Linked DNA regions of Oreochromis niloticus. The protein of the gene in region 2 purifies or fractionates together with the protein of the main gene of each other region. This does not show direct contact. Links are inferred from orthologs where the notes say so. Each region holds a gene or a part of one and is shown on either strand. Other genes may lie near its edges. The genes, in order: stat3 and ret.

Evidence for each region.
Region 1: the proteins of ret (region 2) and stat3 purify together in Homo sapiens (affinity purification with western blotting; 3 studies listed by BioGRID and IntAct, with this or other methods). This does not show direct contact. The link is inferred for Oreochromis niloticus from reciprocal best matches to the Homo sapiens genes RET and STAT3.

The regions. Positions count from the first base shown.
Region 1 is NC_031969.2:26,412,914-26,429,075, reverse strand, and holds the start of stat3 (signal transducer and activator of transcription 3), read right to left. Parts: upstream 10,337-16,162; 5' UTR 10,090-10,336; intron 7,640-10,089; 5' UTR 7,618-7,639; coding exon 7,490-7,617; intron 7,161-7,489; coding exon 6,917-7,160; intron 6,825-6,916; coding exon 6,732-6,824; intron 6,639-6,731; coding exon 6,557-6,638; intron 6,454-6,556; coding exon 6,353-6,453; intron 5,760-6,352; coding exon 5,608-5,759; intron 5,376-5,607; coding exon 5,217-5,375; intron 5,026-5,216; coding exon 4,933-5,025; intron 4,773-4,932; coding exon 4,713-4,772; intron 4,602-4,712; coding exon 4,572-4,601; intron 4,476-4,571; coding exon 4,382-4,475; intron 4,297-4,381; coding exon 4,249-4,296; intron 4,073-4,248; coding exon 3,989-4,072; intron 3,467-3,988; coding exon 3,368-3,466; intron 3,226-3,367; coding exon 3,090-3,225; intron 2,994-3,089; coding exon 2,941-2,993; intron 2,849-2,940; coding exon 2,754-2,848; intron 2,400-2,753; coding exon 2,260-2,399; intron 2,170-2,259; and 6 more. Other genes in the region: cavin1a (caveolae-associated protein 1), read right to left, coding at 12,731-13,495. UniProt on the Homo sapiens protein: Signal transducer and transcription activator that mediates cellular responses to interleukins, KITLG/SCF, LEP and other growth factors. Once activated, recruits coactivators, such as NCOA1 or MED1, to the promoter region of the target gene.
Region 2 is NC_031978.2:25,421,118-25,437,279, forward strand, and holds the start of ret (proto-oncogene tyrosine-protein kinase receptor Ret), read right to left. Parts: upstream 9,162-16,162; 5' UTR 9,147-9,161; coding exon 8,772-9,146; intron 1-8,771. Other genes in the region: si:dkey-192p21.6 (heparan-alpha-glucosaminide N-acetyltransferase), read right to left, coding at 12,631-12,812, 13,270-13,382, 14,453-14,523. UniProt on the Homo sapiens protein: Receptor tyrosine-protein kinase involved in numerous cellular mechanisms including cell proliferation, neuronal navigation, cell migration, and cell differentiation in response to glia cell line-derived growth family factors (GDNF, NRTN, ARTN, PSPN and GDF15).

The DNA.
Region 1 (16,162 bases), on a different chromosome or scaffold from region 2:
AATGTTTTACTTTTTTATATTATTTGAATCACTTGTCACTCAAACTATTATGACATCTAATTCGGACCATTTAAGCCCTACAAAGCAATGTGGATGAGGAATGATGAAGAAATGCCTGCAGGAAACAAGAGTAGGGGGTGAAATAAGTGAAAGACTGATGAAAGGCAGGGAGCTACTTTTGTATTAGGAACAATGCCTGTATGTTGGACTCAAAATAGGAATTATGTAGGTGAAATTACTACCCATCAAACACACAAAGTGACAAAATGCACACACAGCCCTACATGCCAACTCCCCCCGAGTGGCCTACCCTGGGAATCCGTTCCCAAGCAGCTCACTGTCCGGCAAGTCCATGAAGACGGAGGGACACCTACGGAGACAGGTCAGGATCTCACTGAGCAAACCTCACCATCAAACCTACTAGCATACAAGGTGGATGACCTGTTTCTACATTCCCCTCGTGTCAGTCGACCTCACTCTATAAAACTCACCTGCAGCTAACGTCCCGCTCCTCTGCCTTTCTCATTTTGTGCTCATCTCAGACATTAAGGAAAGATTTGATAATTGTCAATAAATATTAATCGTGAATACTGAATATTCTAAAATGGGAATTCCATTCATGTTTTTTCTCTGCTAACTGGTAGAAGTAAAAATTTAGAAGTTTAAAATGCTGCTTTGTGCTTCCTTTTGTTCATCCTTAAGACTTTAATGTATATTTTGCGGTCTAAATATGGTCTAATGAACAGCAGTTTCAGTTGTGATTAGGGATGGGTATTGTTTAGATTTTGCCCCACTGTTATCAGTACAGTGGACACCCCTTTGAAGCGAACGCCCTAAACCCTAACCATTTGAGATTAATATTAATCAACAAATCTATGATTACAGTTAGCTGGGTTGTGGTTACTTTTTACAACTTCTCCATTATTCTATACTGAGTTATAATGAACTCTATATGTGAACTCTTTGCCGCTGATGTATTGGCATATCTGCTTTCTTGTACTTGCGGTAATGAGCACTTTCCATATCAATTCTAGTGAAAATGAACGCTTAAATTTCCCACCCCCATCACTAATACTCTATCTGTGGGTGTGTGTGCACAGTTCTGGGGCTGCCCCTGCCCTTCATTTATAGATTCCAAGGAAGAGAACTTTCTTCTCGCTAGGGACTACAATACATGATAATCTCTCCAGAGAGAAGAACTGACAACATTAAAGGTTATTGATACTTTACGCTCAGCACTGGTGCCCATTTAATACCATATTTTGGTACCCATCCCTATGTATGATAAGAGAAAAATCCATACTAAATATTTGGAAATGGCCAGTGAGTCAGATAATGGCGTACAGAAAGCGTGAGACATGGCTATTCACATGTTGAAAATGAAAATAAATTACTTTCACATGTGCTCAGTGAATACACAGCCAGATGGCCCATGTACAAAGTCAGTCTAAGCCAGTTCCTTTCAGAATCTACACACACCTGGGTTCACAACCCTTTTTCTGAACATTATGATTATTCCTTCCTCCTTAAAACCTCTATGTTGTTTTTTTCCCTGAACATTTGGTAACATTTGCCACATGAAACAGTCTGAAGTTTGTATCTTAATCAGGATCACTCAGTCTTCACAAAAGAAAACATTAACAGGAAGCACTAAGAACTAATATAAGTGGTGGTCACTGTTTGGCATGCGGCCATCCTGTAAATATTATCACTCTGAGATACAGAAGAAGGGAGTGGAAGATACTTACGGGGTAACGCAGATAAACTTTGTCTTCAAATAAGGCTGAATAGCTGTTAGGGGAAAAAAATTGGAGAACATAATGAGCACTATGAAAAACAAAACAAATGAAAAAAAACACTCTCAATGTTGTTATAAACATACTGAGCAATATGTTTGACTTTCTTTTTAACTAAATAAAGACTTTGAAGAACAAGGCAGTAACTTACTGCTCGTTGAGTCTCCTCCCATCTCGGCTTCAGGAGCTGCTTCTGGCCTGCAGTATTTCCCAAAGGCTTCCTCTTTGGGAATATCAGGATATAGGTAGACAAGAGGTGAAACCAGGATGTTGGTGGCATCCATAATCTTGTAGCCCATGATGATGTCAGCAAACGACATGCTGTTGAGCTGCTGCTTGGTGTAAGGCTCCACTGACTGGATCTGGGTCTTTCCTATATAAACACAAGAAAGTTCAGCATCACAGCAAAAAGAGAACATGAAAAAATGACCATGAAAACAGCATGAAGTTCTGAAATACTCACCACTGATGTCTTTCTCTACCCATGTAAAGGTGATGCCCCCCTCCTTGCTGCTCTCGCTGAAGCGCAGCAGAAAAGTACCGGGAGGTTTTGGACTCAGAATAGCCCTCTCCCTCTCCTTACTGATAAAACCCATGATATACCTGTAGACATATGAAGAAATGAAAATACTCTTAACCCTGTAACACCAAGTGTGTCATATTTAAAACAAGACTTTTTCAGATTTCTTTTTGTCAGAAAAACCTTTATTGCACAAAAAAAAAAGTTATATTAAAAAAAGAGATACCAATTAAAACATGTATGCACTAATTTATAATTAATATTTTTGTTTAAATGTGTCATAAGGTTAAATTACACACTTCTGTATCAAACATTTTGAATTTTCTGATAATTATTTCACGGTTCAGGCTTAACAGCTTACAGAAAGTCTTCTCCATGTCAAAAAATGTTCTAATATGAAAGGAAGGCTTGACTGTAAACAAAGCATGACCTCTCACCCTTCATTCCACAGTGCAAGAATGTACTTTTTCACCAGGTCAATAATGTTGTCAAGCCACACCCAGAAGGAGAAGCCTTTGCCTGCCATGTTTTCCTGTGAAGTGGAAGAAAAAAATTAACTCATACAAAACAATAAAGTATCACTAACAATAACGCTGAACAATTTAGTGCCATTTGTTGTAGTACCTTACAGAACTTGGCCCAGGTGATTTGGCATCCAGAGTAGTTGACACATGGTCCTATATAGATAATTAAGGATTTAAATCAGATCAGATTAATATAAAGCATTGTGAAAAACTAAACAGTCTTGGATATTTTAGGGCTTGTCATCTAACCTAGTAATTTCTCAGCCAATGTGGTGAGCTGTTCAATGGTCAGGCCTCGCTTGGTGGTGGAAGAGAACTGCCAGCTCAACACCTCAGCCACCTGGTCCCATGTCCCCACTGGAGGTTTGGTGAAGAAGTTCACGTTCTGTGCAAAGAACCCCCAAGGCAAAATGTTTTGAAAATATACACATTTTCTACTTTCTACTCAAGCAGATCTTCAACTCTATTGAGTTAAGATCCACCTCATGCAGAGTTTAGTCCCTTTCCACCAGAGGGTGCTGTCTTACCTTTGGGTGGTTAGTGAGCATGTTGTACCACAGGATTGAAGCCCAGGCATTTGGCATCTGGCAGATGTTTGATATAACTACCACAGGCAGGGAATGGGTCTGCAAAAACATGGTGTGTGTAACAAAAAAAACAACACCCATCATTCAAATGTTATTTATACATTATGTTGTTTCTCATATATTTTCTCACATTTTCATTAAAAAAAAAAAAAAAAAAAAAAAAAAAAGACTTGAAAGTTAATTTTAAATTAGAATTAACGCATTGTTAAAGTATCTGCAAATTCAAATAATATGATTCTCTAAGAAATCAAAATCAGCGCAAACTTTCAGTGCCAGTGACCCTGCCATTAACTGTGGGCAGGTCAGAAAAAGGGCAAACAGAAGAAATTTTGTGTTTTCAGAATCAGTCCCTGTAGAAGCTGGGTTGATGAAGGTGACTGGAGGCGGACGACTTCATAAATGACTAACTTGTCTGGTGACTGACTTTGTATTGGGTGTCATATAACAAAACTGCATTATGGTTCGGGAGTGTTTCGAATTTTGTTGATTATTAGTGTTGCTTGGGTTAATAGTGAAAGTAGAAATATGTTCCATTTCATGAAACACAGTGGCAGTACTCACCTCCAGATCTATCTTCAGGCCCTGGTGATAGACCTCTGTTTCAAATGTGATAAGATGCAGTTCCTCAGTGACAATCAGAGAGGCCTAGAAAACAAAAAACAACCTACTTAAATTTCTTTATAAAACTATATGTATACAAGATAAAGAGGACTGTTAATTACAGATAAAGCAGAATTTTTCACATGCTAAATACAGCTAAGATTCTGAAACGAGCAGTTTGTTCACTACATTACACAAGTCCAACAAGAAGTAGGACTTACATCGCTATTGGTCCGTCCACCATTACCACACCTTTGTTCTCGCAGGGTCTGCAACAAACAGGAAGTCAGTGCTCCACAGAAGGCCTTTATCAGATTACTTCATAGCTTTCAACCGGTAAGACGTTTGACTCACCAAGTGTTTAAACTCTGCTGACAGGCTACCATTGTTGGACTCCTCCATGTTCATAACTTTTGTGTTAGTACCGAGGATGTTAAACTTTCGTGATCTGATAAAATCATAGTAGAGCACGAAGTAAGAACCTTTTCTAAAATACTACACATTAAATGCTCTGAGGTTTGAAAGTTTGTTCTCAAAGTCTTACCCTCGAATTGCAGCCACATCACCAGATTCCCTGAAAAATAGAGATGCAATGAGTAAAGCAGTAAATTTGTTTTGTCTTTCTATCCTAGTGGTCAAAACTTAACAGAAATGTTGGATGATAAAAATATATAAATAAACTCACTTATCAATGCAAACTTTAATTTTCAGCTGGTAATTGAGCTCAGGAAACTTTACCAGTAACCTTTAAAAATTTGAGAAAAGAGACAAGACAGAACAAATTCATTCACTTATTAAAATGACTGTTACACTTCCCGTTATACAGGACACAAAAAATGTTTCAATAAAATGTATAATCCCAAGTGTAAAAATGTACAATCTGGTGTTGTAATCCTGAATCTCACCTGACTTTATTTGTGAACTGCACGCCTGTTTTGATAACCAGAGGTCTGTCCGGATGCATGGGCATGCAAGGCTGTCTTTCAACCACAAAAGCACTATGACGCAGAAAAGCATCACATCAATACATGATGAGCAGTGTTAAAGGTATAAGTCCCCTAAGCAGTAATTTTACATTTTTCTGAAATTTCACATTTACAATATAAAAACTGTGAGAGACTATGGACTTAAATCCATGCAGATCGAGTTAAGACAAAAATCTGTATAAGTAGATAAACATCAAATGTACCTCTTCATTAGGTTTCTGAACAAGTCCACAATTTTCTCCTCAAGTGCGGGCCGGTGCTGAATGATGGGGTCTCCTTTGTAGGACACCTTCTGTTGAAGCTCTTCCAGCTTCTTGATTTGCTGACGAATTTGGAGCTGGGACTCAGCCAAGGACGTAATCCTGATTAAAATAATAATACAAAGTGCAAATCAGACACATGTCTATATGAAGGGAGTAAGAAGAGCAGAGACCAAAGTCCACAGTCACTTGGCCAGAATCATTCATTTATGATGCGAAACCTACTGTGAACATATCTAATAATAAACAGTCAATGATTAATCTCTGTACCAGTTTCCAATTTTAAGTCTTTTTTTATTAAAAAAAAAAGGGGTAAGTTCTCAGAACTGTTTACCAAGTTTCAAGGCGATCGAGACAGATGTTTGGAGGGCCTCCAATACAAGCAATCTGCTGTCTCCTCTTCCAGTCAGCCAGTTCTTCATCTGTCAGATTCTTCTGTACGTAGTCCATGGCAGTCAGCAAGCCTCCCATCTCCGTAACAATTTGCTATAACAAAGCAAACACAGCACACATTAAACATTGGCATAAAGAGCTATAATCCATCTGTGGTCCAAACTTTGTACCACTGTTAAAGATTCAAACAATGACTGTGTTAATATTCAGGTTTAAGACTAAGATTATTCTTTACTATCATTCAGCTAAACATTTAGATGTTTATCAATCTTGCATTTATCATTTTTTAGCCAAATTTCTATTTTCACCATTGATGAATGTAACTAGCAGGAGTTGCTTGTGCAGTACACTGCTGTCTAGCAAAATTTAATGGTCAACATATGTGCAGCATGCAAAACTAATGGACATTTGGTTTCACAGACGCAATGCCACATCTATCGCTTTTTGTGCTAGCTAGCAAACTTAAACTGGGTGTGCCAGCGTAAGTCCAAAGGTGTTGTTTCATTTCGATCTAATTACTTCCTAAAATGCCTCTTTATACATTTTTGCACGCCCTGAAATGTACAGATACAAAGGTTTACATTTATAAGGCATTATAATGTGTTTTGAATATCCTTGTTTTCTAGATGTTACCTAAAGCACTTGATATAATACATGCTTAAAATCAATAAAGTTTAAAAACCCACCCTCCTGAGCTGATCCAGGGCGCTCAGCATCTGCTCGAGCTGGGCCATCTTCTGCCTCGTTGCAGCTGCCTGGCTATTTCCATTTAGATCCTGGGACAACTCTGGAAAGAAGGTGAACAGGTCACCATTAAATTAACTTTTAGCTGTTAATACACGCAGCACAGCTAAGAAAATTACATTAAAAATATAGTAAGATAATTATACCTCCTTGGCTTTTTAGGGTCTTGTAATTGAAATCAAAGTCATCTTGCAAGTTTTCAAGCATTTTCATCTTCTGTTCCATATCCTGTGGAGAAATGGGTGATAACGTATATACATTTATGCCAAGAAAGACCAATTACGTAAATATACAGTAAGTGACTCTTTAATGGGAACTAACCTGCACCCGCTTCCTGATGTCTTGAAGATTGTGCTCCAGTATCTGCTGCTTCTCTGTCACTACTGTTCCAGTGGGATGGGCTGCCTGGCCATCCTGCAAGAGGATAAAAGATATACTACGTAGAGCCATTGTACTAACTTTATACATCATAAAGTCTGAAGCTAGGTCAATATTGCTGTATCAACCTGTGTAGCAGAGGTGGCAGTCTGCAGCAGCCTCTGTTCTTCCCACAAACAGCGAGCAACAATGCGAGCAATATCCATCGGTTTCTCCAAGTACTTGCTCTGCAGATGCTGTTTAATCCTGCGTAGGTTATGCTGGTAGAGCACATTGTTCTCCTGCAGGAAACGGCTGTACTGCTGATCTATTTCTCCCAAGAGGTTGTGGAACACCAGTGTAGCATGTGACTCCTTATTGGCAGCGTAAGCCCTTGTAAACGACAGGTAAAGTGATCAGTATGTGCTCATTTCTCATTTTTCCTCATACATTAAGGTCAAAATCATCCCCATTTGCCACAAAAATGAGTACTCGGGTTAACAAGCACACTGACACATTGTATCAGAGTACTCTGATTCCTGTGGTGGTGTTATAAGGAAAGAAGAGGGTGATAATGAATAAATTAAAAAAAAAAAATGTTAAAGCCAAAAAACATTTTGGAAGTCATAATGAGTGGCCATCTCCAAATCCAAAGGGAGAGAAAATTACATGAATTAAAATGTAATTTCACAACAGAGCCTAGAAATGTAATTATTTCTTACCAGTCTTGACTCTCAATCCAAGGCGCAAGAAACTGTCGTAACTCCATGGGGAAGCTGTCACTGTACAAGTGGTAGAGTTGCTCCAGGTACCTGGTCTCCAGCTGCTGTAACTGGTTCCACTGGGCCATCTTGACACTCACCTCCTTTGGCCTACATAAAAAATATGAGTGAGACAACATAAATTCTGCAAAAATTCTATAAAAATACAAACTGATAATACATACTGCCACAGTTCCTGATAGAATCAGTAAAACTAACTGTAGGGAAATAGCTAAATATCAAGTTTTCTCTGAAAACGATGACAAGCCCATGAGAGGCTTCCTATTCAGTACAGTCACTTCCTGTTCACTGAAACACTACGCCTCCACCAAGAAATTTAGGCCAACATGAACAGCTGTCGACTCCCTGAGCAGACAGGAGTTAATGATCTTTGGTGGTAACTTTGCCTCGAAGGTATCTCACTGCACTTTCTGTACTTTGCAATTTGAGTAATAGTCTTTCATTTATTTTCAATCACTTGATATCAGATATAACTCTTATCTAGGTTATGTAACTATAACTTTTCCATCAGATCCACTTGAGATGTTCTGCTAGCCTTCTCATGTTTTCACCTAAAGGGTACACCATTCCCTGAAGAATTTTCTACTGTACACTAACAATAACCAGACATTCAATAAATCCAAAAGGAAGCCATTTCCTTTGTTTAATCCTTACATAACATGTTGGATAGTGTTGCAGTAACATCCTTCCACTGAATGTGTATACTGTGTTCTCTAATACACTTAAAGTTCAACTTAAAATATAGGCAGAGACGTTTAACAAAGCTTTCATGCTTGGTATCTGCTGACACAGAAATGTACTTGACAAAAAACAAAACTTCACTTTCTGTTTCCAAATGTAAAGATTTTCTTCTGCTGACAGAAAGCATACCACTGAAATAGTGCTGTTCATATCTGAATAGGTTAAAACACGGGACCTGAATTTCCATCTGTCTAGGTATTAGCATTATTCAAATCAACGCTATGTAGGCTCCATATTCATACACATGGAGGTGAGTGCAAAGTAACATAATGCCTTCTCAAAAGCATCATTTTAAAACACCAACAGAAAGTGGATTTTCCAACATTCACTGAAATCAGTGTTCAAGGCAAGCCACTAGTTTCGGTAAAAAACCCCAAAAAACAAAACCACTAATACCCTCACTAATATTGCGTGGCTATTTTAAGCAGTGAAGCCACATAACTAACTGTCCCATATCCCATAGACCCATGTTCCTCTTTCTACAACATATGAAAAAGATGCATTCATGCATGGTGTAGATTTCTGGGCATGTAAAAGACCTGGGAGAATCAAATCAAAGAATAGCCAAGTCATTATCAGCTCAATTAAAAAACAAAACAGTATTTCAAGTGTTCTCCATGACCCTTAGGCACAGTTGTACGTTTATTGTGTAAGCTACTTATCCCGTTTCTCCTGAAATGGCTGGACTATTCTGACACTTACTAAGCCCTTCTGTGAGATCTCTGCAGAATTATACGTGTACTGTTACAGAAATAGTTGTGTTGTATTTTTAATCAAGAGTAACTTTAGAACAGCAGCTTGTTTATGTCAGATGAAAGGAATCCATAAAGTCTAAACAACCCATCTGTTGGTTGCATAACTTAGAAATTTTGCTTAGGTCTCACACATTTTGTGTTCCTTTTCTTTTCACACCTCTATCAATGTCTGAGCTTTAAAAACTAAATCTAAAGCTCTCAAATTAAAATCCACAACTCAGAATTAGTTATCATAAATAAACCTGTCTACCCAGCTTGTCCACTGCCCTATGCTCGGAAGTAGGTGGCACAAACGGTAAAGCAAAGTGCCATTCATTAAAACTCATACCTATGATATTCAAGGAAGCACTTCCTTGAGACAACAACGAGAAACAGTAAGCATGTCAACCTTCACTGGCAGTGGATGAAAACAATAGTACAACTACATGTGTTATTAGGCAAAAATAAATAAATAAAATACTGATTGATTATGATGTGCGTCCATATTCAAAACTCTCCAAAAGTTAATAATCTGCTAACTCACTGTCCCCAATTAAAGCCTAATTTATTGAATGCAAGCCTTGAATCATAAGGCTAGGTAGTGGGTGTGCTGTCCAACTGATGGCATGGTGATGGGCGTGACAGCTTAAAGAAAACAGAAAGGACTGAACTGAATTTTCCTCGGTCCAAAGGGGCATCCCGTTAAAGCCCACCTTCCCTTTTTAAAGCATATCAGATGTACTGCCATTATTAAACGAGGCGTTAGAGAGTAGACGAGTAAAATAGAGCACACAAACACAAAAACTCTTAAATATTACGTCTGTAATATACATTTTACAAGAAACGAGCAGAACTGTAACACACTTAAAAACGTTATTACCACTTTAATAAATGATGTATCACTGTGAGCAGAGGGGGTTTCTCCAACGTGAATAACTAAGAACCTATAAAGTACTGCAAGTGTACCCCAGCAGCGTTATCGATATTAGAAGTAGACGTGCATTAACATTACGTTAAAAATAAAGAATTTACACCAAAAGCAGAAGTCGATTTATATTTGCTTACCTGGCTCGATGCCACTTATTTAGAAAGTTTCTCCGCCAAAACAGTAACCCTTCTCATAAAACACACTGACGATAACGGTCAGTGGCAACTTTCGTAAAGATTTTACCCACAAAAACGACGGAAAGCGCTCGAAAAAACCCCGTAAGTCTTTATATTCTCTTCCCAACACGAGAAACGCTTCTTCGTCGCAAGTACGGATCTATCAGTCAACCCATCCCCTACATTGCAGACTTTCCAGCCAGCCAAACTCCTTAAACTATTTTACTGACATTTCCAGCCGCCAATAGTGGTCTGCAACTCTGCTGTCGCCAATCACAATGCAGCTTATAAGCAAAGAAGGCGGGACACTAGCTTGAGGTTGGTTGAGGAGGTCCGCTGTACCGCTGTCGCAACTGCGCTGTTCTGCTCTGAACACCCTCCCCCCGGGTAAGCCACAGAGTAGACGTTTAAGCTGGGTAGCACCGGAGGGGGGACAAACATTTTCACGGAACAGCCAGCCTAGAAGTCATCTGAATTACCGGCAGTGCCGACGTCATCGAGAGTTTAATAACACTAGAGCGCTTCATTATTTACCTTTAGTCATAATTCGACCCTCTGGTCACGGTAGGTGAAGGAACACAAATAAACTTATGAACTGACAAACAAGACAACATTATCAGCCAGGTTCGTAAGAATGATGCCAGGCACTACATATTATTTAGTAAGGCGTTTATTTATATTGAATTTGTTAGGCATAAAAAGCCTTAAACACAACATAATCAGTCAAGCGTCATTATTTGAATATAAATCAGTAACACCAAGAGTAATATTATGTCACATAAGGTTGCAGGAGTGTTGAAGCTCATTTTCTGAATAACCAGCAGCTTAAAACAAGACAAAATAAACAGGGTGACAAAAACACACATTTCTTCTAAAGGAACCAGCGAGTATTATGGATAAAGTAAAGGTTGTCTTTGCCAAAAAAAATTACAAAAAATAACATAAAATAAACAAAAGGCTAATGCTATGAAACTAACATGCCCATGTGATTTTACAGGCCCACAGCTGATTTCTTTATTGTTTTGTGTGATTTCAGCTTCATGCTTGGGTACGTGACATGCGCATACTGTCACCATTTATTAGTCTCTCCCTCCCTCACATAGACACGCAGACACATATCCCCTTTGTCTTTCTCAATGTTCTCTGGTTTGTGCAGTTCTCTGACCGAGCACTCTCCTTAATTGTATTTCCCCGCCCATTGATTACTTTAATGGTGGTCGATGCTACACAGTAGGCCTCTGTGTGTGTGTCTGCACCACATCAAGGTCATTCAAGTCTCCAGGGAGGCAAAATGGAAGACATACATTCACCTTGTTTTTGTCTGGAGAGCGATATGCTCGGCCTTACAAAATCAGAAGACTGACTGCGCATTGCCATACCAGTTTACATTCATTACTGCTTGGCTGTTTTCTCCATCATATGCCAACCAAATTGTATAATTTACGACCAGATTTTCATAGTTTTTTGCTTTGGATGTTCCTGTAATAGTTCAGCTTCTCCATATTACATACAGCAGTCATTAAACTGTCATCTCACATCTCTTTAGACCATCTTTTTTTCTGTCTGTAATTACTTTGAGAAATTTTAATGGGCATGAAAATGTACTGTGATGAGCTGTGACCATGGCGATACTATCTTTTTTTCCTCCCCTTTGTGCAGCAGTGCAATATGTGCAGCTTAGTGAGAACGTGTTCAGACACGCCAAACGTTGTATCCTCATTAAACACTGTTTATACTATAGCAAAAGTTACATTCCGAATCTTATTAACGTTTTCATTCAGTTTTTCCTTTTTTAATTTGAATGAAAGCTGAAAATTGAGCTGAAAATTTTACTGCCCCACATACACAACAGTATATTTTGCTTTTTAGTGTGGTGTTATGCATTTAAACATTGTGATAGTTGAATTTGTCACAGGTTCATGGTTCCTAGTATATATTAATAGAAATTGCACATCTATTTCCAGCCATTCACACTTAAGTGCTTAACAATGAGAAACACTGTATTGTAACATTTGGGAAAATGTTTGTAATCTTACGAAATATGGAGCACAGTTTAGTTAAACGCCTTAGTGTAAGTCCAGTGCAACAGATCTTTTCTTCACTTGTTAATTCTTCTGTAGAAGAATCCGTCTACAACTTTTACATTTATTTTTCTTTACACATTCACATCACTTCACCCGTCCATTACAACAAAAACCTTGCCAAAAACTTCATTTTCCCATATTTGTTAAGGCGAATGCCACACTAAATATTGTCTCTTAATCACAATATTTTTTTTTGTTTTTCTTTTAGCCACACAATTAATCAAACCAACAACAAACAACAAATACTCTAATTTCTAAGTGTAGCATATCCAGTCAGCCTGTAACATAATTCCGGGTTTGTCTTTTTTTCCATTATTTGAGTGCTAAATATGAACAAATATGAAAGTTATCCCTGTTGGGAAGAATACAAAGAGAACAGAAAACAAATAAGATGTCATAGATTGTAATCATCTATAAAGTCCCTACTGTGTCTTTGTGATTATATTCATTCGTCAATATTCTGTTTCCTTCTTCATCTTTATATAATTGCTTTCACAGCCCTGTGGAGCTATGAGACTCTATTCACTTTGGGCTTTCTTTAGGTGGTCTGTATCCACCCTGACCAGGTCAGAGTCTTCAGTCACCTCCAACAGAGTATCCATTTCAGGGCTGTCTACACTGACAAGCTCCCCTTCCTCCACCTCCACGTGCACACCCATCCCGTTCTCCTCTCCCTCTGGCTGAACCTCGGCCTCGCTCACTTCCACCATCTCCGTGTTCAGCACCACCTCCTCCTCCCCTTCCCGGATCTTCTTAACATGGAAGGTAAAAGGGGGAACGCGGTACACGGAGGTCTTGGAACGAGCATACATCTTGTGGTCAGGGGTGAGTGACTTCTTCATCTTCTCTTTGGAACTCTTTATCTTTGCCCTGCGCTCCTGGTTGGGGGTCATGCGGGTCCCGAGCTTGCCGATCTTCTTCTCAAGACTGTGCTTGGTTTTCTCCAGGTTGTCACGGGTTCTCTGTCTTGTCTTCTCCAAGTTTTCACGGGTTCTCTGCTTGGTCTTCTCCAAGTTTTCCTTGGTTTTTAGTTTGGTCTTCTCAATTTTCTCTTTGGAGAAGGCTTTCTTTATGTTATCGACTTGCTCTTTTGTGGTGCGTTGGAGGCGCCTTGTACGAGTCTCTATGAGCTCCTCTTCAATCACCACCTCTTCATCTGAATTAAGATTGTCTCGGAGTCCCTCCTGTCCCTCTTCAGGGATTTGCTCAAGACCCTCCGCTGTTTTACTTTCTACTGCCTCTGCTGTCTTGGATTTGGATGCCTTTGGTGGCTTCACTTGGTCCTAAGGGACAAAATAGGAAGGATAAGAAAGAGAGAAGAGCATTAAGCCACCATAGCAGAGTGAGCGAGACTGAGTTAAACAAGCTTTTCAACCACTTTTACAAAAATTTCAGTGGACATGATGTTTCAATAATTGCATTATATGATTAATGTAAAAATAGCATGTGTTTCAATATGTTTTCAAATGTACCACCTATACAAAATTAAGCTAATGGGCTTAAGGTGTGCATTGGAATTGCAAATATCAGCCTGAAACTCTGCAGAGTCATGCATCATCAAGTAGTCAGTGTAAACATGTCACTGTTTGCAGCTGGTGTGGAGTGCCATCTAGTGGTGTCACTTATATGCTGATTATTGTGCAAACAAAATGGTTTTAAATTTTCAGTTATGAAAAATAAAAGAATGTAGCCTGGCATATTTACAGTAATTATTATATGGTATGTCTTTAAACTCTAGTAAAACTATGGGACTTGAAAGGAACCGTATATTATCTGCAACTTTAGTCATAATGAAACTGAAGCTCACAATTTGTTCATCTAACCACAGGTTTATTTCCTGCCACTTACATATCATTTCTATATAAAAGTCTGAACCCACTTTTGAAGAATTAATCTTCAGTTAAATCTCTCAGTAGACAATTTCAACTTGTGTTTGGTCGGGAAAAGTGTTGATAATAAAATGCAGAATAGAGACTGGTGGTTAAATTTCACTGGAAATACTTAGTGGTTAGAATAGTTTCGGTTTAGCACATAATGCAAAGTGCAGCAGTTTCAGAGATGGACAGAAATTGCTGTATAGGTAAGGCCAGAAGGAGGACCATTGTATTTGTTCTATGCAAAGCTACACAGGAAGGTATCACCCTGTCAAACCACTTGGATGTGCATCTATTTGAATACCCTCCTACAAGTTACAAAAAAACAAAAACAAAACCTTAAATCAAAGCATTATGAGAAGGTTTTCTGTTTTTTTTTAAAATTTTTAATTTTACACCTGTCAACAAAGTAGACCACATTTCCATGTTGTTTGGCAGGACACTGTCAGTGTCATTCCAGATATCCACAAAGGGAGGAGCAGTACTATGATAGAAATGTGATTCCCCCAACTGTCAGTTACTGATAGAGGGATCAGTCGTCCCACCCTGCTGAACCACACCTCAGTGCACCATCACTATAGTCACTGACTTTGTAGATACACATTAAAAAAATCAGTTATTCATGAGACAAACATAGATATTTAGGAATATTTAGGATGTTCACAGTCTGACATCTAGGGTTCAAATAACAATGAGTGTTTACATCTGAAGTTAATTTAAGAGGCATAAAAGGCCTCATATCTGTTTTGTCCAATATCAGTCCGCTAAAGAGCCACAATCAGACAAGTAATTATCCAGCAGAACACGGACTCACATGAAACAGATACAGCGCTGCTCGCATGTAGCAAAGGTTTGTTTATCTTCTCCACTATGAGGGACGACACATCTTTATTTGAAAATTGTAAAAAGAAACATTTCAATAAGGTGGGAATAATTTGTCAGTCACTGTTATTACAAGCTGCTATAATTACAATGCATAAACTTAAATGCGAATACTGCCTAGGCAGTAGTTGCCCTTTTATGCTTTAAATGACAATTTAGGTAACTTGATGGTGGAGTAAATAGCATTTCAGTCATTTCACAGCAAGAATACTCATTGTTCTTTCTTGCTTTTTGCATGTTCTCCCTGTACCTGTGGGGGTTTCCTTAGTTATGTTAGGATGCCTGGGTCGTTGACCCAGAGGTTTTGAGTTCATTATATTATTTATCATTTCTAGTCTTTGGTTTCTTTGTTAGAGTTATGTCTTATGGTTTTTGTCTCTGTGTTTTCTAGTTGCTGTCTCCCTGTGTCCAGTCAGTCTGTGTCTGTAGTTCAGTCTGTGTTATGTTTCCTGTTTTATTTTGAAGGTCCACGTCTGATGTTAATGTGTCTGGTTTTGCTTCCCCTGTTTCGTTAGGCCTGATTTGCCCCAGCTGTGTTTCCCTCCTGTCTCCCATTTCCTGATTGTTCCCTCTGTGTATTTAAGCCCTGTGTTCTCTTTGGTCTGTGTCGCGATCTACTCTTATCTACCCTCACTCATGCTGTGTGTTTTGGTTTCTGGCCTGTGTTAATGTTTGTACTTTGGAAGTTTGTTACTTTGAGTTCAGCATTAAAGCTGTTTTTTTAAGTTCACGTCTGTCTCCGGAGTCTGCACTTTGGGTCCTTTTCCTGCCTGCACACAGCCGTCACATAACAAGTTAATACTAAACTGATTCTAAACTGACTGCTGATGTGATCTAGATAAAGTGCTTGAAGTACATAAGACAAATGCTGCATAAATGTGACATCTAAAGTACATTGAGGGGTCAGTAAGACTTTAAAAGCTGAAGTACACTGCATTAGCATTAGCTACCAGCATAAACCACCATTCTGAAATAACACATTACAAACACAGGTGCTTTTTTTCTTGTGTGGCCCTAAATTGTATTTTGGTTCCTTTACTTGTCACATGGTCATCAAAATTTAAGAAAGTTATAGTTTTTTGATAATTAATAGTTTCCTACTGTAATATAACAACTGTAATATCACTAGTATAACACTAAATATTAAGTGACCTGTATTATCGGGTCTTATTCCTAACTTCTAAAAGACAAACA
Region 2 (16,162 bases):
CGACCATTTAGGGAACGCACTAATGTCATTAGCAGACAGCAAAACTAGATTTTCTATTTCTGTTGGTGCAGTTGAAGCCTCGGCTCTGGTTTCAGACATTGATTTAATTTTGAGGGGCTTAGATGACAGGAGGCCGAGCTGATGGATAAAATGTGGCCGTCCTTCCTCAAGGATGGAGATACGCTCAATGAGGCTGCAGACCTTTTTATTAAAAGTGTTCCGGAGGCAAAACAAACAGCAGGGCACATGTTTGTTAATCTTGGTGGGGATGGTGGGAGCCGGTTTCATGACTAGGGATGATTTTTCCATCCCCTAAATCTATTACAGCCAAAATGCAGTCATTCACACTCATGCTGTTGACTGTATTTTATTATATTTCCATTCTATCTTAGCTGATTTTTACTATTTCATACCATGAAAAGGTCTGAAATAGGTAATTGGCTTCATGATGCATAAAAGATTTCTGAGAAATTGTACAAAAGATTTGAGGGAAAAAACAGAAAAAAGTAAAGAACTGTCCACAGATTATTTTAGGTTGTAATTATATTCAGTTTATACAGTTAAAAGGTATGAAACACATTAAAAGACGCGTAATCTGAGCATCAGGGCTTCAACTGTATACCCAAAACAACCATTAGAGGGAGCTGTTATCACAGTGACACGGGCTCCAAAAGCAGCTTAATCATTATCATAATATATTACTGCTCTAATCTCTCTACTGCTTGGATAAGATGTTAAATGATTGGACTCATTTCTATTTGACAGGTCAGAAAAGACTCCCACTACTCTCTACAATCCCTCATCGGATGCATACAGACAATTTAATTAATCTACAGAAAACTTACGCACGACGGCCACAAATTGAATACAGCAGATGACAGCAGCTCTGCAAATAAAGCTACATGGTCCAACGTGTTAACCAGCGGGAGCTGAACACATTTATGAAGGCAGGCATTGGCTGCAAGCCACAGTGGCCGGACCCCCTGCAACACAATTCGTTTATATCATTCAAAATTCAATTTCTTTCTAGGACAGAAGCCAACAGAAAGCAAGCAGTTTATATCAAAACTAATTAATAGAATGCATCAAGCAGGCCCATCCGAGCAAATGGCATCTTTGGTCTGTGAAGCCATGATGATGCTTTTCCAAGGCATGACTCATTACCTTCCCTAAATGATGCACAAGAATGGCAGAAATACAGCTGGTGGTGACATTTTCACCTATTATATTCATGTCTAAATAATGACCGAAAAGATTAAAAAGACGTTGCAGAGGCTTCATTTCCATGTTTCGCGTCTGGACCGCTAAAGAACGTTCTTTCCGGAATTTAGTGGGCTGTTTTGGAACAGCCTTGGCCTGTTATTGCTCACAGTGTGTAAACATTAGCATCATAAGCAGATGTTTTACAGCCTTCGATCACCTATAAAACTCATGCCGAGCTCCTGCATACAGTGTCATTCCTTTGAAAGTAATTTTGCAAACAGAGAGTGTTTGAACAGGACAATTCATGTAGCAATCCATGTTTACAGTAGATATCATGTACCGCCGAGTGGATAGTGAAACTGATTTTATCCAACGCTGAAAAACAGGAACACGAAACAGTGGAAAACCCTCTTACGTCTCTATAAACGTATGGGCTTCCTGGTTGTCGTTTACGATCGCAGTCTCCATGAGTTAATTGTGCCTGGGTGCGTGTGTGTGTGTTTGTTTTGTCTCGTATTATAACTGCAAAAGAACAAAAAGGACAAAAGCTCATCACAAAATCTGAAATCACGCTCCCCGTCAGCCACAGACCACAGCATGTCTGGGACAGGTCTGAGCTGATAGGGTGGGACGCCCTCCATCGTCCCAGACAAAGACAGGAACTCAATTAGCTCAATGCGTGCTTCGCCTGATAGATTTACCAGCTATGAGCTCATGTGCTAGAGTAACCCACTGGCTTACTAATCTACCTCAAAGTCTCATTGAAAAATATGTGGATCTCCCACTCAGACGTCCTCACTGAGCATCCTTGTCAGCAGCGTGGCAGATGAGGAAACGTGACCCTGCCCGGCTGCTGCTGTGTGATAACTTGACATTATAATTGCGTTCTTAGTCTGGACCTCCAACAGTAAGAGCTCAGCTTCGTGCCCCTTTTTCTCCCAAGGTCAATGTGGTCTGCGTCTGCCCCTGGTAACGACCCATTGGAAAGGCAGTGTATCTGGCAGCATATCAATCAATAACCACACTAATCAACAGTGATGCTGATTGTTTTCCACTGATGACACAGACAGAGAGAAAAGCTGCACAAGTGCAATCACGTCCGCCGAACATAATATTGGAGTTGCTTAGGCATCTTGTGCGTGGACACTGAAATATTACTTCTACTGTGCAAGTGTAATTTCACAGCCTGCTCCACAATTTAGCCCATCAATATCCACATTTTCAAGGAATCCATCATCTTTTACAAAGAAGCTGTAGCCAGGCACATTAAGGAGCAGTTCACCCAGTTATATCACGGTGATATAAATAATAATCACTCGGAAACCTATCATGATTGCTCTGCTTCCAGAGATGTGACTGCTACTGGAATGGTTTTCTTCAGAGATTCAATTAGCTAAAAAGCTGCACATTCAACTATAATTCCACTTATGAAAGCTAATATTGATCATAATGTTTTGAAATCTTTCCCCCTCCTCTATTTCCTGTCCCTATTATGCTCAAATGCTTCATCATATCACACTGGTTTCAGAACCTGGATTTAATATAGGCATGACTCTGATGTTTTTCGATCTTTCAAAACAACACGTGTAATAAGGAAAGAAAGTCATTTCCTGCCATAATGACCCAGTCATCAAAGTTTTCATCCGATTAATAAGATAGCTGATCTGAGTTTGGAAAAGGCAGCCGGGCTCCAGGTAGATTACTCAGTTTACCATGATGCATACCGTAACATGATAATCAATTACCACATAATGTAATCCAATTATTCCCCAGAGAATACAAGAGCTGAGATCCAATGAACCATGTTCATCAGTCATCAAGAAATCTAATAGGACCTCTCCTTAGGGGTTAGCTGCAAGTACAAATTCAGTTTAAGGATTTCTCTGGGGATGACTGTGGCATCAAAAATTGAACACGTGGTACATCATGGAGCTCCAGACTGAGTTTGATGAAACAGTCATTAGGCTGCTTTGATAAAATCATCTACCCTCACCACAGCAGTGGTAAAAAGCCATCAGATTTACTGACATGTACACAGAAGGAGGCAAATACTCTAAATGCCTGTGGCAAAACACAGAGAGCTTATTTATATTTGCATAAATAGCTCACAGCCACAGGTTTCATAAAGGGTTTAGCCTAAAGTACCAGATTTAGGAAAGAATTGCTTTACAGCCTTTTATTGCACTACACCAAGCAGTCTAGACTCATGCTACCAGCTCTGTGAGACTGTATTTATCAGTCAGGTCTGTGGCATCTACATTTAGCATTACTCTGTACTCTGAATGCTAACATCAGTAACGCTGCATCATGGTGACAATGCCAGTATTTGTATTGTAACATCTTCTAATCAGCCGCACAGCAAGAAGGTCCTGAGTTCAATTCCAACATCAGGCCGGGGTCTTTCTGTGTGGAGTTTGCATGTTCTCCCCGTGTTTGCGTGGGTTCCCTCCGGGTACTCCGGCTTCCTCCCACCGTCCAAAGACATGCAGCTTGTGGGGATAGGTTAATTGGATAATCCAAATTGCCACTAGGTGTGAATGTGAGTGTGAATGGTTGTCTGTCCCTGTGTGTTGGCCCTGCGACAGACTGGCGACCTGTCCAGGGTGTACCCCGCCTCTCGCCCTATGACAGCTGGGATAGGCTCCAGCACCCCCCGCGACCCTGAAAAGGATAAGCGGAAGCGAATGGATGGATGGATGGATGGACATCTTCTAATCAGCGCTAAATACGGTCTGAGATTGATGAAAATGTCATTAGTTGTGCAGTTACTGGACAAATTAAAATCTTGACCTAATTATTGTGCTCAATAAAGCAAACCAAAAAAATAATAATCATGGGATCATTAAGATCATCGGGATTCATTTTCTCGGAGCTATGAATGTCTGTACACATTTCCAAGGCGATCTATCAAATTATTGTTAGATTATTTTAGTCGGGTGCAAAATGAGCAGGCAAAAAACAACAGAACAACACTGCAGTGAGAGAAAAACTAACAAGGCTGAACACAGTCACGTGTATCACTTACACATACTGTGCATTGGAAGCATCAACAGTCTTGTTGTTTCAAGGAAGCAAACACAGTAAAAGTGCATTAATTTATAAGATGTCCTAATTGTGGGAATCATCAATGCACCAGCGTCATTAAATGGCACTGCTAAGATGAGTCGCCACTATTCGCACTGCTAGACTCTGACTGCTTGTTACAACTGTCCTAACATGAGTGAATCTGGTGGATTGCAGTATGGGAACAAGGGGAGAGTCGCTGCTTTATGCCAGGGAGTAGAGATCGCTGAACTACCAGCACAAAGGGAAGTGGAGCTTTCAGAGTTTCTGGCATTGGCAGGTGGTTGCAGAGGACGGAAAAAAGATTTCCAGCATGTTTACCCATTTCAGTAAAAAGAAGGACCAAACAAATGGATGCCAAAGTGGAGCTGGAAGAGGATGGGGGGAAAACAGCAACATAAGTATGAATCAGCAGCATTTATGGAAAATGTTAATTTAAGGACATTTTCCACTATTATGGTTTGCTCTCTTTAGAGAGATTGCAGTAAATGTGCAAATTTGACTCTGGCACCAGTATGGCAGTAGAGTCACTCCCATTGATTTCTGCAGTGTCACACAGACCATGTGGACTCAGATAAGCAGGGCCTGTACTTTGTTTTACTTATTGTTGTAATGACGGGTCAAACACGATGTGCACTGCTGCACGACTGGAAAACAACTTGTCAAGACCCATGTGAAACCAGAGGACTAAATGCCCCGAGGGTAAAATTTCAATCAATGTCTCCTTGTCCTTTCACCACAGCAAATTAGATTCTACCCATGCATGAGAGCGAAGTGTGACCCTGAACTGACTAGAGGATCAGACACAGGGGTTTGACAGGTAGGAGCGGCATCCGTGCGACGGCAGAAATGGCAGCCCAGGATTAGAGGTCGGGACTCTCAGGAGTCTCAAGGCAGTAGTAGCGATTTGGGTGACAGTTATTTCAAAAACCGCAGGTCCACTTTGGCTGGGAAGCTCGAAGGATGAGAGTTTTGTGACTCATGAAGTGGGAAAATCGGGAGCTTTAGGCTTCTTTGTCTTTTCTACTAAAGTGCTGCAGCTGTTCCAACAGGTATCAGAGCGTCTGTGGCTGACAGCATGTTTACTGTCGCTCATGAGCTTAAAAAAGAGGGAACACGCCAGCTAGCTCTGGTTTTAAATCACAATAATGTAGTCTGTTGTATGCCACATTTTGAACTTTTTGCTATAGCCAGCTTTAAGAATCACAATATTTTTTTTCTAAGATGCAAAAAAGAAAAGCACTCCTGTTGATGTAGCTCAGTAAAAAAGATCTAATCTACTTGCATTATGATATTTCCCACTCACACTCAAATAAACACAGTGACAACAAGCGTGGAAAATTGACAATATTTATCATGCATCCATGAGGAACACAAGACAGAAGCTTTACTTAATTATATCATGCTGTAAGGGGCTAAATCCAATAGCACCACGTATCAAATGAGATCTGTTGGTCTGGTACTTCTCCAGAGGAAAAGATGCTGATGAAAATGATCGCTTTGAGTTAAAGAGAAGAAGGAGCACTATACCACTATGTTATGGTTTCACCGGTCAGAGGGCGAGGAAGGGTCAGAGATACCGTAACAAGGTCACGGTGGAAACAAAACAGATCAATGCTTTTACGTGAAAACATCTGTGGCACTTTTTTGTGTAAGAGATTACACAAATGTGTGTGTTAAAAAGGGGGAGTGGATTTTGGCTTTGACCAGGTTTCGTCACAAAATGTATTTTCACCTCCAAACACTTTGTTTATAAAGCTGCCAGCTGATACTGAAGGCCTAATCTAATTAATAAAGGGTTGTTTCAGTAAGCTCTCCAGATTTCCTCAAAATGTAAATAAAAACAAAGTCACGACGAGCCGGATATAACTTTCTTTGGCCTTTTTTCTAAACAACTGCTTAAAATGTTCACACAGAAGTGCATGTGACTGCACGATCCCTGACAACGTACGCACAGAGACAGAAGAGCAGCTGCAGCCTTAGTGGCAGCTAATGGGAATCCTCATAAAGAACAATGAATAGAGGCGTCCCAGCTCCCAGTTCACTCCAGCTTATGTCTTGAACTACTTTACTTTGGTCTTAAGTGCAGGGCAATGTCTCAGGAACATTTAAAAATGCTGATTGCTACAAAAGTGAGCACTGATTGCCAATTTCCTTTGTTTGATGATCTCAGCGAGAAACACTAAACTAATCAGTAAACTGGAACCTGGAGCAGGAGTTATATAAACCCCACCGGGAAATTCCTTTGTAATAGCCATTCATGACTGTGCCATTCGTACAACTAAATTGAAGATCAGAAAAACTAAAGTTAAACTAAATTGACAAATGCATATGTATATTTATGTGGAACTTCATGAGTAGACGATCATGGGAAGGAAAGACCTCCTATGGCATCCAGTGGCGCATTTAGTTAGTCTTTGTCTGGCTAGCAGAACAGTGTGCAGGGTAGGACATATTGTCCGTATTGAAGATAAATTTTGGCAATATCTTCCTCTGCAATGAGGGAGACTTATGAGTTTGAACTCCCAAAAATATCTAAATCATGGTATCACATACAATAAAAGGAAAAGGGCCTCAGCAGGACAGAGAGTTTCATTTTATCCCAGTTATTTGCCCTCCTCATTTCCACCATCCCTCATATAATATACAGGAAAGATAGGAGTCCTGGATCTTTTCAAGGCCACTGCTAACTCCTTTCTCAATGCTAAGCTGGAGATGGATCAGTTCACACCAGACCACAAAACCGTCTACCACCTTCTGGTAAAACTGCAGAGAGCTTACCAAAGTAGTACCACTGAAATTTAAAGCATAAATATTCTTTAGATTCAATCAGTGACTCAAACAGCAATAAAAATCCACATTAGACGTAATGTGATGCAAAAAGTGCATCACAACATGATTCATTTACTTGGAAAATGACTCATATGTAAAAACCATTTAGTGATTTAAGATGTTTTAAAGGAGTCACAACAGGCAGAACATCCTCACAAAGTGGGGTAAAATAAAAACAATCATCGATCTGGTAAAATCCGACTATGTCACTTTGTGGCAAGCCCGGCAGCAGCCCAAGCGGCCCGTCCGCTTGCATAACATGCGATATTTTCCTGAAGAAAACAAACAGCCAGTGTTTGCCCAGAGATAGGAGCAGCTGCTGCACACCTGCCCATGGCTCGCCTCTTCTCCTCCCTGAACAAGTGTAGGTCTTTTGTTGCAACAAACAGGCAGGTGATGGGCGCCACATTCACGTAGGGTGCAGCTTTCAGCACCCATTTAATTACCAACACGTCCTTGACACATGAAGTGCAACGACACCAGCCCTTTTCTTCTATAAATATCAGGAGAAACGCCTGCTTTGGTGACTGTGCAAGCAGAGCCCAGCAGGAAAAGCCATGTGGATGCATGTAAGGTCTGTAAGAACAGCATGCGCGTGACTGACTGTGTGTGGACTATGGACTGATTAAACAGTGTGTGTAACAGTGAAAAAATAATCAGAGGACACTGCATAAAAGTGTTCTACCTTAACAGTTGCATTAATCTTTTTAACTACTCTGCAGAAAACTGCTCCCCTGGGTGATTAAGTAGGCCTGTAGTTTATTGCAGGAAAGAAACAGCAGTGCTCCATTCACGTAGAAACGAACATCTTTTTATACATCCCAGATACACTCAAAGACTTTGATCATAATGCTTGTTTGCCTCCCTATATACAAGCACTGATAGTAACCTCTGAAGTCCAAAAAAACCGTATTTGTTCGAGCATTACATCTGACATACTGGCGGCACAGTCCTGACCTATGAGGGACACTTTAAATATAGACTTCATGAGAGGGCAGTGTTAGTGCAGTTGGGCTGTGGGATTGTGGACGGGATTATAATATTATGATATATGGCTGCATTCATTCTACTCTTCGTTTCATTGTTGTCATGCCACGCATAGCCAGCGCACAATGCAAGGATCACTTTTCTGCTGTGTGGCACAGTGCTGGCGTTGTGTTCGTGCCCTTTCAGATACTTCGTAGGGGGAAAAAAGGCCTTAAAAATCACTCAGCTTCCAAAACGCTGCAATTTAGCTTTTCACTTGAGCAGCCCTGTGTATTTGTCAGTTGCAATCTAGACTTCATGTTCACTGGCTCGCTCTGTGGCAGCACCTATTTCTCTTCACCTTGGCCAGCTTTGCAGATACTAAATATAATTTTTAAATAAACATATTTTAATTCCTTCTGCGCTAAACGGTCTCTCCGGCAGAAAGGTCAGTAAGAGATGGAGATAAAAACTCAAAGACTAAAGCTAATGCTGTCTGAATAATTTATAATACTAAGGATGAACGCGTTTAAAATAAGAAGCGAACATTAAATCGTCTCCTCTGGATTAATAGTTAAGACCAGAGCATTTATTTTGTTTTCAAAAACGTTCGAACACACTAGTGCAACATTTAGCATTAGTTTGCAACTTCATCGTGCGCTCCTTCGCCCTTTTCCAGTGACAGGAGAACTGATGATGAACCTTACCTTCCAGCACCAGCAGCAGAAACAGCGCAACGATGTTTCCCCGAGAGAAACCACAACTTGACCCCATATTCGCGAACCATAGGTGAAAGTTTCTGAATGAAAAGACGATCCAAAAAAGTTCCTCTGGGCGAAAATTAAATAATAATAATAATAATAATAACAAGAACAATAATCAAACCGATAAAATATACAAAGATGGGGGTATAAACCAGTGCGCGCTCTGCGTCCAGATGAAGTCCTCAGTGTCCCATAGACGGGCTGCTGTGTTGAGGCTACAGAGGCTGCTGCTGGGCTGACTGGCTGGTCTGGTGGGGGGAGGAGGTTCACTGCTTCACTACTCACTGCCCCGCTGCTTCCGCAGAAGCAGGGCGGCATAGCATCTACAGGAAATTTAAGAGCATAATTTAACAGCAGGTCAGTCATCTCATTAAGGCTCTGCGCGGGGGAGGTGGAGGGGCGTAATTATTAACAATTATGACTGGGCGCGTAATGGTTCACTTTAAAGGCACAGGCGCTCTTTAAAGGTGGGCATCAGGTGTGCTCGTTTTAATAACCGCTTCATTATAACAGCCGTGTGATAATTGTAAATGTGGCTTTTTGTTTAATTTTGCTAAGCTTGAAGTAGCTTCGATGAATTCGTTTGTTTAATTCGGTTGAATAAAAGGAGACTTTGAGCACAATGTTCCAGTTGGTGGCAAGAATTAAGTGAAACTCCTGCCAATGAAGTGACAGGGCTAAGTTGTTGTTGTTGGGTTTTTTTTTGCCTAGACATTTTATTGCATCCAAGTACTCCATGTGGATAATTAACACTCCCCAGCTGAGTAGAAGTCCTCTGCAGTCTTTGGGTTAAAGTCCCAGAATGAAATCAGGGGGTTAAATGATGTGGGACCTTTCCTCTCTCAGGTCTGAGTGTGTGTGTATGTCAGAAGCTGAGGGTGTGTTAAAGAGCGGGATCTCTGTGTGACTGAACAGTGTGGAGATAGCGTGGAGTGATGCATTGCTGCAGCCTCGGGCCAGGACACCAGTCACTCTCTCAGCAGTGTCTTTCCAATCAATGTCTCTGCATGGAGCAAAAACACTGAGGCTCACTGGGCTACAGAAGATAAAGGGGGCTTTCTCAGAAGCTTCACTAACTTTCACCAACTGGGATAAAATATAATAGCTGCTACTTACAGTGCTTACATTTTCACCTCCCTCGAGCCGTCAGCCTCTTGGTATCAAGAAGACTTTAAAAACAATATGCCCTTAAATTAGTGATCACTGCGAGGTTAAAGGAGAAAATTAGCTGTGAAGCTGTAAAGAAAGAGATGACATTTTAACAAAGCTAGATAGGTTGTATGCTTCTGTACCTTTGAGCAGTTTTAATTCTTACATCTAGATGGCTCTGGACTCTGTTGTTAAAACCAACCACATCTACTTTAGTGGTCTTAGACATGTTTTAACTGTAAAAAGTAAAGTACTATTGTAAAAGTCTATCAACTTTAAGTATAACCTGTGAAATTGGTGTTATTGTTAATACTTTGTTTTGTAATCAAGCATATAGTTTGGGCTGGATCAGGTGACGTTGAATCCAACCACGCACTGAATGTTTCTTTTTCACTCACTATGTTTTTATACACCTCGCTGCACGTAATCATGAGTTATTATTCATCTCTGGCTCTCTTACATGGCACGTCTTTGTCTCGTCTTCCTCCACTCACCTCTATCTGGTCACAACAGACGCCTGCATCACCATGAACCTGGTTCTGCTGGAGGTTTCTTCCTGTTAGAGGGAAGTTTTTCCATCCTACTGTTTCCAAAGCGCTTGCTTAAAGGAGGTCATATGATTGTTGGGGTTTTCTCTGCATTATTGCAGGGTCTTTATCATGCAACATAAAGCACATTGAGGCAACTGTTATTGTGATTTGGCAATATATAAATAAAATAACATTGAATTGAATAACATGATAAGCAGTTTACTCAAATGTAATGCTACTTGGTGTACCAAGGGGCATTATGTGATATAAGAAGCCAAGAAGTCTGCCTGAGCACATTGTATTGTATCTGGGATAATGTTTCCATATGACAGACTATAGGTATCCTGAGACGTATGCTCAATGAGAATCAATAAAGAGAAGGAAATACGGTGGTGTGGACATGGCATCTGCAACCACATTGGTTTTGTATGTGCTTTAAGCAAGTTACAAAAATGCTCTGGGCTAAAAAGAAGGCAGCATAGATTCTTGTTTTGACTCTTTTGATCTTTATTAGCAGCAGCTTTTGATACGTAATAGGTTTTAACCTCCTCGTGATGTTACTCCGAATGAGTCAGCTAAATGCTTCTATTAAAACACAAAGCTTTCTCATGGCATGCAAAACACAAAAGATATCTTTAGACCTGTGTGGTGAGTGTATATCGATTTCATTTTCATCTCTCGACCAATCAGCAGTGCATTTCCATTGCTGGCACCATAGTTTGGAAAGCAATTAAGGATTTGAGTCTTGTTCAGGAAGGCTAGATGCACCTTCTGGGATTCAAATAACTTGTGCTCATAAGACAATTACCAAAAACCCCTACACCATATTACACAGTGTTATTACTGCTTCTGGAGAGTGTGTAATAGGATTTCACTCAGGAAGAGGAGCTTGATGCCGTTTCATTTCATTAACTAGATGGTCATTTCATGATGCACACCACCTGACCTGATGCTGAGGGACACTGACCTGAGTGCGTTCAATAATGGCACATATACATTATACATACAGATATAAATCATTCAACCTGCTTATCAGTCATGAGGAAATATTCTGATCTATTACTGAGAATGAACCCTGTTTCACTAAGTAAGAGGCTAGGAGTGTGAAATGTGCAAACTAGAACACATGTAAAGGGCTCGGGGTCTCTGAGAGGGGCTCGTCTGATGAAATGGATTTGTGTAATTTCCCTGATTTTTCTAATGAAATAAGTGCAAAAGGTGATGGCCCCATTAATGACACCCCTCTGTGTGCATCTTGACCCCAATTATAGTACTGTGACTTGGACAGCAGATGGTACACACAGAGACACACATGCACACAGGAGGAGTGGCCATGGCAACAGACTCATAATGGTTGTCCTGGTGTGTAGTGGAATCACTTGGCCTAATTTGTTAAGTACCACCTCAATATATTTAATTTAATCAGTCTATTCTGAGCATAAAACAAGTGTTATCAAACGAATCCTTAGCTGCCCACACTGACAGTTCTTTAGAAACAGGACAGTGCTTTAATGGGTTTCACCGATAAGCGTTTTCACATTTTTTACACTGCTCTGCTTCTTGCTTTTGATAAAAAACATGTGTCTGGTAAGTTTGCATCTATGAAAAGCAAACTAAACTAATTAAGCCTAGACCAGCAGGTCATTTTAAAAACTCTTTTAAACTCCCACAGATGCTCTAATACTCTATAATTTACAGAGAAGAGTGCTTTTAAAAAGAAAAACATAATAATTTTAGTAGCTCATATTATATTAGGTCAACATACATACACGTCATCCCTGAGCCAAAAGCCCAGGCTTCAGACTGCTCCTAATGTTTCTGAGCTTCTGATAGTTTTTCTCCATTATCAGGTCTGCATGATGTCAGAGAGACACACACAGCTCTGGCTGTGAGCACGGAAGCTCCGCCCACCAGCTGTCCACACCTACTATTTACAAAGAGCAGCCAATCAGGAGAAAGTTAAAGGAAGGATCAATTGAAGGGTTGTACTAAATTGCAGTATAACATAAATAAGGATTATAATATACTCTAGTAAAGTAAAATACAAAAAAGTTTAAAATTAGTTTTAGAGGCTGCCTTTAAATGAAAATATAAAATAATACAATCTACAGAAGTGGGATGGATTATATTTTGAGAAAGAATTTCTTCCTGTAGAGCAGGTAGGCGATGAGCAGCCACAGTGCAGTCCCCCACAGGCTTTGAAAGAGCCACTCCCAGTGGCTCTGCTGGAAGCGCATTTCCCAGCTGAAAGGGAAGTAGAAGCCCAGGAGAGAGTGGCCAACATACACAAAGATGGAGTTCATCCCTGTGGAAGAGGGGTGGAAAAAAGACAAGTTATTGAACAGGATTTATACAATTTAAAGGATTTTTCCCTGCTCTGCACATAACTTTAGCTGAATGACTAAAGTTATGTGCAAAAAGTAAAGGCTTTATTGCAGGGATGCTTTCCAAAAAGCTTTCCAAATGAGCTAATCAGTTGAAACTCTTCTCTGGGAGTCTGGCCAATAATGCAAAAAATTACTGGAAGAAAAGACTGAGGACCACAAGTCCAAAACCTAGACTACAATCCCTACAAAGGCTTTCAGGACATTTGTTATATTAGGAAAAATGTTTGTTTTTGCATGATCAGCTAATGAGCTGCCAAACACAATTGTCATTGTGGTCAATATTTTAAATAACGTTCCAGCGTTTGTGAGGTTTTTATTCCAACCAAAGCACAATCACCTTTATAAAGCAGCCTGTCAGTACAAGAATAAACATACCTGGGTATATGAATGGCTGTCCACCCCACCAGCCCTTGATATCGACGACAAAGAACATGCCTCCCAGCAGCAGGAAAGACAAACAGCCCATACACATGACATAGGACAACGACCTGAAGAAACAAACCATCGGCAACACTTTACAACAACAGCAACATTTTATTCGGCACATTTAGGCATCACTAAAATCTGGGCAGAATGGTGCGAAAAACAGTGTAAACACACTCAGTCCATCAATCTGCTGCAGATAAATAACACCCAGAGTCTGTCCTACAAACTGTGAGGCAGTTTGCTGGACTTGTCTATAGCATCAGCATATGGATCCTTGGCATGTGCCTCATGGAGCTGTGCCAGCTAACCACGTCTCTGTCTGTTCCTAAGTGCAAGAATGCACGATGAAATATTATCTCATGTAAAATGGCTCCTTTCTAGAGCCTCCCTGCATTTATTTTTTATTTCTTTATCTCAGCTGAAGTCGAGCCAAAAAGGACTCTTAGCTTGGAGTTAATTACTTCTAGACATCCCGGCAAGGACTTGTACCCAGGAGCTCAATAACCTGTGCATGATGAACTGCCTATAAAAGCCAGGTAGGTAATGGCAAGTGATGCCCCATGTGGAACATCATGAGGAATTTGCTTACACATCACAGATGAAATGGCGTTCTTCCTGCTACAACATTTGAATGCTTCACATCACATATAAAGGGAAATGTAGGAGTGGAAACAAACGCACGAGTCATAAAGTAACCGTGAGGTGGTAACTGTGTCACATTTCATGCAAAATCATTACAAACGTTTAGGAAAGTGCTGTGCCTTGTTTTTTTAAAAAGGCTTCTAATAGTTTGGGAGCAGTTAAGACTGTGTTGTGGTTATACAGTTACATTTCCCAGAGTCTGAGCTCTTTCCATCACACAGAGCTGGTAAAACGGTGAGTGAGTGCTTCTGGGGGAGGATGAAGCATTCTTTATTTCGCTGGCCGTAAGGAAGAGTGATCATGTTGGGAGGATGTATAACGGCAACACCTCACACTGCCAACAGCCCGGGTGATTATTTACAGCCGTAGCTGTCGTTAGAGGTAAGTAAACGCGTGTTTTAGCAGCCTTGATTTGTGTCTGTTGGAAATCCCATCCTTTCTTTTTTTGTGAGGAAAAGTGGCTGGATTTAGAGGGTCAGGAAGCACTTACCAAAGGTTTTTATTGACAGGTATAAATCCTCCGTCTCGCGTGCACTTAGAAAGGATGGCTGCAGAGATTCCCTGAGGGTGGAAATGAAACAGATTTCAAATCGATGGAGGGCGATAAAGCAATCTGTATTGGGCTGCTAAAACGTGAGGCAACAGTATCAAGCAGAGTCCAGCAGATCAACCGACAATCAGAGAGTTACGTGGACACGGTCCATTAACTTATACACACACACAAAACACTAGACAGGACTGCAAACACACCAAAACAATGAGCTGAAAGACATTCAAATGTGGGTTCGTCACTACAGTAAAACACCACCGAGAGGCATCTACAAAGTCCAACACACTGAGGCCCAACTGACTCCATGTTCATATTTACTCATGATGATCTGCTCAACTCTACATCAGTAAGCACTTTTATAGTCTTAACTATCCCCCACCCTCCCTGTATGATTTAGATACATGAAGAAAGATTTTGTGCTGCACAGAGAAACCCAGGACAGCGGATCAGGATCCAAACATGCTCGTTAGGTGGATATCCATCATGTGTATAGATGACAGAATCGATGGTGTGGAAATAGCCTAGCTGGGGCTGGATTGAGTCTCCAGGCTATCCAGGCAGCAGGATGTGGGATGGGGCTGGTATGTGGGGCAATCGCTCAATTTCAATCTCTCACTTCTGGAGCCTGATCGTTGGACTTTAATTAACAGGGGCTGCTGTTTATTATGAGGAAGATGCATGGCTGCCTGTGAATATCAGCCTGCCACAGAGATCACAAAACAATAAACCATGGCCTGATGTTTACTGTATCCACACTTTCTGGTTTTCCTGTGCTTAACGCCGACCCTCTTGTCGGGTGCGTGCAGTAATAAGTTTTCTCCTCCTCTGAGGAAACCTGCTAATGTTAAGAGCACATGTCTGAAACAAAAGGCAGCTCGGCTCTGCTTCCTGCCTCCCCCTTTGAGCCGAAATCTTATTAGAAAAGTCAATATCAAGAGCAGGCCAATCGCTAAAACTAATTTTGCTTTCTGTGTTGGTAAGACATACGACCAAAAATAGACTTAACCACTGAGATTAAAATAATCAAATCAAATATACACGTGCAGAAATGGTGAAACAAATATATGCTGCGCTGATTCTTTATTCCTGTGTCCGTTCCTAAAATCAATAGCGATGGTCTGCTCTCACTGCCAGCCGATGCAATGTGAGAAAATCTATTTTATTGCATTTTTCTATTTCAGCTAACCAGGATTTAAGCTACTCTGTTGATCCACATCTAAATACTGTAAGATCCAGAATATCTCACCTCCAACATCGTAATCTTGAGTAGCATCCGCAGCATCTATCAGCTGGTAAACAATGAGATACAGTGGAAAAAACATTAAAGCCTAATGTTTATTTATGACAGCATGAGCTACTTTGTCACTGTGCGCCGCTGGGAGAAGCTAAATGGATCTAATTTATGTCACCTCCCTCCAGCCACTCAACGCACAATGATAGTCAATAAGATTCAACACCTGGAGACATAATGGAGCTTTGTCCTTTAAGAAGTGAGGTTAACGACGTTAAATTCTCGCAACAGAATTTCAATTGATTCTCACATATACGAGCAGGACTCTGTCGCTGAGTTTCTTACACGGGAGACTTTTTTCCTCTTCCTACTGTCTTTTTGGAAAATACAGCCTGGATGGAAAAACGCTGCTGCTACAG